2 linked regions of the Danio rerio genome follow. The protein of the gene in region 1 purifies or fractionates together with the protein of each later gene. This does not show direct contact. Links are inferred from orthologs where the notes say so. Each region holds a gene or a part of one and is shown on either strand. Other genes may lie near its edges. The genes, in order: p4ha2 and col1a1b.

Region 1 (3,729 bases):
TGTGCTGTTGCTCACAGGCTGTTTCACAGGCGCACGCAAAGCTTGAAGGTAAACAAACAACGGCTTATCATAAGCATCTCATCGATGATTATTTACACAGTTGGCATTAAGAAGAACATATAAACGTGATCTGACTAACTTCTAGCAGCTAAATGTGTCTGGAAAAATATTCAAAGGCTTTTATGCTCCCAAACCGCACGGACGTAAATGCGTCTGAGTGTTCTGATTGGCTTAAGCAGAAGTCTTACGTCAGCACGTTCTAGACGTGCACGCGCTTATTACGGCAATCTTCCATCTGCATTCACACAGCCCAGCATTCCTGCAAATTGCTGGTAATGTTACAACTTCACTTTCCGGAAAATAGCCAGAACGAATTTACCGGTATTTTCAAAAAGGGCCTGTTCACACATACAATGTGTGAAAGGGGCTATAGTTGAATTTTGTAAAAAATGGTGCAACATTCTCAACCATTGTTTAACTAATCTAATGCTCTCAATTATTGACTTTACAAAGTCAAGTCTTTATCTGAAAAAATGTAAAGATTGATATGAACCAGAATTTTGGAGAAGGGTCTTGCTGCAGAGTTGAACTTGCATCTTCAGGCTTGCGCTCTGCACGCTCAGGCACCCACGCTTTCTATTTCAACACAAGTAAACCAAGAGTAAGTTTACAGCAATGATTCTTGAACGACTTGGGAAACTATTCTTAAATAATGTAAAACATTATTTATTTCAATAATAAATGAATATGCAAGCAAAGAAACACATAATTTCCTATATTTTTATTGCAAATCATACATGAATATAAAATAAACACTAGAACAGGACAATAATTTAAGCATTACATAAACAATGACACGATTCCCCGGGTGAACCTGACTGGAGAATGCAAACACACAAAATAAAGCCTGAAATCCCTCACGGACATCACGTATGGATGAATGTGGAGAGTGTGATTATCTCTGTGTGTGTGCAGAGTCAAGGCACTGTGGGTAATATACTGCGTTCATCATCCCTGATCAGTCCACTTCTGTCAGGCCACACGGCCGTCTGAACTCCTGCCCTCGCTCGTGGATCCACTTGTTTGAAACTGAAAGACAAGAGGAACTTGTAAGGTTTGTGAACATCTGATGCGCTTAAAACAACCACATTTTATGCCTTGTTTACTTTCATATTCAATTATGTAACAGTGGCAGGGGTTGTTTTTTTATTGCCACATCAGCAACTCATAGTTAAATTAATGCAAGATTACAATTATTTGCCCTCCTGTGCATTTTCTTTTTCAAATATTTCCCAAATGATGTTTACCAGAGCAAGGAATTTTTTAACAGTATTTCCTATAATATTTTTTCTTCTAGAGAAACTCATTTGTTTAATTTCAGCCAGAAAACACACTCCCCGGCCACTTTATTAGGTACACCTTACTAGTTCGTTGTAACGAGTGCTTTTTTGAGTAACTGCTGCCTTTCTATCAGCTGGAACCAGTCTGGCCATTCTCCTCTGACCTCTGGCATCAACAAGGCATTTGCGCCCACAGAACTGCTGCACACTGGATATTTCCTCTTTTCAGACCCTTCTCTATAAACCCTAGAGATGGTTGTGCATGAAAATCCCAGTAGATCAGCAGTTTCTGAAATACTCTATAGAGCAGCCAGTCTGGCACCAACAACCATGCCACGTTCAAAGTCACTTAAATTCCTTTTCTTCTCATTCTGATGCTCAGTTTGAACTGCAGCAGATCGTCTTGACCATGTCTACGTGCCTAAATGCATTGAGTTGCTGCCATGTGATTGGCTGATTAGAAATTTGCGTTAACGAGCAGTTGGACAGGTGTACCTAATTAAGTGGCCGATAAGTGTGTGTGTGTGTGTGTGTGTGTATAAATGTCTACTGTATATAGTACACAATAATCTGTAGTTAAAATTTAGTGCACTTACCCCATTTACTGCCTACTAGCACAGGACAGGCTGCATGTCTTGTCCTGTAGTCTCCTTCTCCACTTCTGAAGAGATTGTACCAGAACACTGCTGTTCCCTGCAACATCAATACAATATATTAAAGCCTATTAAGCAAAAATCATTTTATAAGGGATTTAAACAAGGTTGTGTGTGGATATACTCAGCTTATAATGGTAAACATAAATTAACTGTGTTTTTTTATCATCACACTTGATATAAACAGTCTGCAGAAACACTTTGATTGACATTTTCCCTTTGTACGAGTCATCAGAGGGGGAAAGCCCCGCCTACTAGTGACCATCTCTCCCTCATTAGCATAATGATGTTTTTGAATCTGCCACTATGCTGACACACAGGCATTTATAGCTCCGCCCTCTTTTGAAAAGATCAATCTCATTTGAATTTAAAGTGACAGTCATCAAAATAACACAATTTGGATTGAGTTTCAAAGAGTTATAAAACATTATTTGTTTGGTATTTTAAGATAAAAATTCACATCTTGTAAAAAGAAGCATAATAGGTCCCCTATAAGCCTATTAGATTTTTTTAGGTGTAACACCTTAATACACAGGTGTCAAACTCAGTTCCAAAAGGGCCGCAGCTCTGCACAGTTTAGTTCCAACCCTAATTAAACACACCTGATCAAACTAATTGAGTCCTTAAGGCTTGTTTGAAACCTACAGGTAAGTGTGTTGGAGCAGGGTTGAAACTAAACTGTGCAGGGCTTCGGCCCTCCAGGAATTGAGTTTGACACCCCTGACTTAATATATTATAGAGGCAATTATATTACCGATGACATTATACAATTCATTCATTTTCTTGTCGGCTTAGTCCCTTTATTAATCTGGGGTCGCCACAGCGGAATGAACCGCCAACTTATCCAGCATATGTTTTACACAACGGATGCCCTTACAGCTGCAACCCATGACTGGGAAACACAATACACGCTCATTTATTCAATGACAATTTAGCTCACCCAATTCACCTATAGTGCATGTGTTTGGACTGAGGGGGAAACCGGAGCATCCGGAGAAAACCCACACTGGAAGAACATGCAAACTCCACACAAAAATGCCAATTGATACAGTGACTCGAACCAGTGTCCTTGCTGTGAGGCCACCATGACGCCCGACATTATACAATTTATTATAAAATATCAATAGAGTGTGTGTACCTTTCTGGGCCAAACAGAAGCACCAAAGTCAGGGAAAACAGTCGCTCCGCCGGCTTCAACATCACTCATCTGTAATGGAGATCCAGTATAAATATACACTTTTCATCTGAGAGATAGTATGTTATCAGTGTTACAGAAATTACAGAAGGACTTCAAGTTTAGTGCAGAAAACGATTAAAATCAGAAAAGTCTCAATTTTAAAGGTCCCATGAAATCCCAATAACGTTTTTTAGATGTTTGTATCAGTGTCGTTAGTTTTTAGGATATCTATAAGCTACTGCGCTCCAAAACAGAAACAAAATTTGCGTCTAGGGAGATATAAAACTGATATTATTTTAATCACATTACCTCATACTTCAGTTTTTCGTCACATCATAACCAATCAAATTCTCTCTAGTATCTGATATGCCCCGCCCCCTTCAAGAGGCTTCACATTTGATGCACTTGAGCTCTCTCACTGGCAGAGCTGTGGTCAAACTAAACGCTATTGGCTGTTTTTTTAAAGGTGAGAAGCTACATTACGTCCCACCCTCTCTTCATGTCTTGGTTGAGATTACATCAAACATCTAATAAAAATGCAGATTTCAAAGCACTTCAC
Region 2 (3,836 bases), on another chromosome or scaffold:
TACTAGTCAATTAGTTATTAGTAACTTATAAAGTAATGCAACTAATAACCTTAAGTTTTGTGAATGTGATTGTAATGCAATAATGTGCACCTTTTTTTAAAGCTGCTTTGAAACAATAATTATTGTGAAAAGCAATATACAAATAAACCTGAGTTGAATTCAAATGAATTGAATTATGATCATTGTGTGTTTCTCTGTATTTCCAAAGGGAGCTCCTGGTAAGGATGGTGATATCGGTAGTCCCGGTGCTCCTGGACCTGCTGTAAGTCTGCTAAAACCTTTAAAAGTTTGATGTATTACAAATCTATTATTTCAGTGTGAACTGTTCTGACTTTGTTCTGGCCTGTCGTCTCATAGGGACCTGCTGGAGAGAAAGGAGAACAGGGATCTGCTGGTCCTTCTGGATTCCAGGTACATTTTTAGATGCTCATCATCAACACAGACCCTTTTACTTGTGTAATTTAGAAGAAATGCCTAGTATTTTTAATAATAAGTAAGTATTATCAATAGCTTTTGATTCATGCGCAAAGCTGGAATATCGCATAAAGCATTTGCAAATAAATCACCATTTCCATCCTAAAAGTCAAGGGAAAAAAAATAATCAATTCCTGATTAACTGGTGGCATTTATCCAAAAGAAAATGTAATTTGTGCATGTTTTTAATGCATATTTTCTAAATTTATGCACAAAATTTTTAATTTTTTGAGTATTAGGCAATATATTTATTATGTGTAGGTGATAGACACGTATACATAGAAACAAAACTGTATAAAAACAATATTGTTACATCGATATTTAAATTTATATACAGTTTGTATCATATTTTAAATCTAAACATAAATACATTTTCTCAAATATTTGCATGCATGTGTGTATTTATATAGAAATAGTCAATATACACATCACACACATATATATTATGTCAAAACAATCTTATTTTTCAACAAATTTTATATTTTATTTTGAAATTATGTGAACAAAACAAACGATGTGGACAATCAGCATACAACATTGAGTATAACAAAAGACATGCATATATAAAATGAACAAAATACAGCAATGCAGGAAGTTGTTAAGTAATATTAATAATAGTAATGCTAACGACAACAATAATGGTAAAAATAAAAAGGATCAACTAAAGAGTAAATGAAAAGCAAATTTTTATTTTGCATGCAATAATTATATTTTTACCTCATTTTTTTTAATGTGATATTACATAAAGTGCATAAAAATGGTTGGACGGAAACATCACTATTGGTGTAATTTAGTTTTATTCATCTGCTTTTTATAATGTAGAGTCAAATCACATAGATGAAGAATACATACCTGTCAACATTCGGTTGTGAAAATAAGGGATACACCCACCATAATAAGGGATTCCCCCGGGATAGAACTGTAAAATACGGGAGAATCCCTGGAAAAACGGGATTGTTGACAGGTATGAGAATAGAGAATAGTAAATATAGTAAAAAAACATTCCAGCAAATCAGGTAGACAGGAGAGTAGTGCAATAATGCTGGTGTATTTCCAGCTAAACTTAAAATTGATTTAGTCATTTAATACAATCATTATTTGTTCTCTTCCAGGGTCTTCCAGGTGCACAGGGTGCTACCGGTGAGACTGGCAAACCCGGTGAACAGGTATGGATGATCGCTCAAACATGTCTAGAGTAAAAACAAAAATGATTTCTCAGAGCATTTCTCACAATATGAATGTTTAGGAAATAACCATAAAATATGACTCCTAGTCAAACTTGGTCAGAACAAACTCATCTTGATAATGCTTTGATTGAAAGGCACAGTATCTAATGGATCACTATTGACCAGCACTGTCCTGCTTGTAATGATTCAGAAGGCTTTTTAATGAACTGAACTCTCTTAAGGACATTTTTAGCAAAGTGGCACCAGATATAATGTTAGAATTTTTATAATGTATTAGCGCTAAAAATCCTATTTAATTTATGTACCATTTGTTTGTTGTTTTAATTGTATATTTAACATTAAAATGTTCTTGCCATGAAAAAAGCCTTGGTTGCTGACATGGCATTAAAAAAACATTACCAAAACTGCTTCAGACAACTGCATTATAACAATATTTGCACAACTTTTATTACTGTAGTTTCTGGAATCCCTCAGGCTCATTTGTATGAAGAGTTTTTGAGTATAATATGTCACGGTTTACTTCATTTTGCTATCCTCATTTACATAAATAAACTATAGTGTCCTGTACAACAATACAAACAAAATCCAAACAATTATAGCTGTTGTCTGAGTTTTTTTGTTTGTTTTACTGTATGCTTGCTGTATGGAGTTTAGGTTAAGTCACCATAATCAAGCGTATTGTAAACAATCATTTCATATTAAAAAAGCCAATCAGCATTTAATCTGTGTTATTGATTATGTTGATTGTTTAACAGGGTCTTCCTGGTGAAGCTGGTCCTTCTGGCCCTTCTGGTCCCAGAGTGAGTATATTCACATAAATATCCTTCATCTCAATCTGTAATACACACCTCTGTTTTCCGCTTTTGCACTTATTAAATGTATTCGCACTATTACTGATATATATATATATATATATATATATATATATATATATATATATATATATATATATATATATATATATATATATATATATATATATATATATATATATACATATATACATATATAGGAAATTCTTTTTGTATCTGTATGTTGTTTTTCAATTAACAACATACTTTAAAACAAAATATAGATGCAAAAGAAAGAAAAAGAAATAAATAGAAAAGCAATATTTTATAGTATGAAATGATGTAAAAGCTGTTTAAAAATATATATATTGCTTGATTATTTCACATTTTAAAAATGTAGTGTTATACATTCCATGCAAATCAAACGCTATTGGCTATTTTTTTAAAGGGGAGGAGCTACTCTATGCCCCTCCCTGTCTTTGTCAGACATCACACAGTACTGCACATTTCAAAGCACTTCACAGCACCTTTAAATATAAACAACTACAGTAGTTTCTGTTTACTTGTAATGAAATACAGTAGAGTAATGTTGTAAATGTCTCCCGTAGGGTGACCGAGGTTTCCCTGGTGAGCGTGGGTCCCCTGGACCTGGTGGCCCAACCGGCCCTCGTGGAGCCCCTGGATCCCCTGGTAATGATGGTGCAAAGGTAAGACTCCTGTTTCAATAACATAATGAGATATATATTTGTATTCCCGTCATCAGTACTAAAAAATTAAATAAATAAAAATAATAACTTGACATAGAATTTAAATATCGGAACTCTCTAGGAATTTAAAGGGATAGTTCACCCAAAATTGAAAATGTACTCAATATTTACTCTCCTTCAAGTGGTTTTGTTCGTCTAAAAACAAAAGAAGATAGTTTGACAATGTTGGTAACCTGTAAACATTGCCATCGATAGTTGGAAAAACAAATACTATAGAAGTCAATAGTCACCGGTTTCCAACATTTTTCTAAATATCTTCTTTTGTGATCAACAAAAAAACAGAACTCATAAAGGTTTAACACAAGTAAAGATTGTCCTTTTTGGGTGAGAGCTTGTAAGTTTATCTGGATAAAAGCATTTACAAAATTAATAAATGTATGGCAAATGTAAAATGCAGTACAGAGATGTCAGAGAAATAACCTGATGCTTTTTGTGTGTTCAGGGAGAGCCTGGTGCCGCTGGAGCCAACGGTGGTGTCGGACCCGCAGGGATGCAGGGAATGCCCGGAGAGCGCGGTGCTGGAGGAATGCCCGGAGCCCGAGGAGACAGAGTAAGATTATTACACTCATTCATCTGCAGCATTTTGACATTCTACCATCAGATATTTGTGCAAAATG

What was found.
Region 2: the proteins of p4ha2 (region 1) and col1a1b purify together in Homo sapiens (co-immunoprecipitation; 3 studies listed by BioGRID and IntAct, counting the BioPlex papers as one, with this or other methods). This does not show direct contact. The link is inferred for Danio rerio from reciprocal best matches to the Homo sapiens genes P4HA2 and COL1A1.

What each region holds. Positions count from the first base shown.
Region 1 is NC_133196.1:46,841,861-46,845,589, forward strand, and holds the end of p4ha2 (prolyl 4-hydroxylase subunit alpha-2 precursor), read right to left. Parts: intron 3,201-3,729; coding exon 3,132-3,200; intron 2,034-3,131; coding exon 1,937-2,033; intron 1,090-1,936; coding exon 1,019-1,089; 3' UTR 767-1,018; downstream 1-766. UniProt on the Homo sapiens protein: Catalyzes the post-translational formation of 4-hydroxyproline in -Xaa-Pro-Gly- sequences in collagens and other proteins.
Region 2 is NC_133187.1:3,504,467-3,508,302, reverse strand, and holds part of col1a1b (collagen, type I, alpha 1b), read left to right. Parts: intron 1-208; coding exon 209-262; intron 263-357; coding exon 358-411; intron 412-1,586; coding exon 1,587-1,640; intron 1,641-2,416; coding exon 2,417-2,461; intron 2,462-3,060; coding exon 3,061-3,159; intron 3,160-3,661; coding exon 3,662-3,769; intron 3,770-3,836. UniProt on the Homo sapiens protein: Type I collagen is a member of group I collagen (fibrillar forming collagen).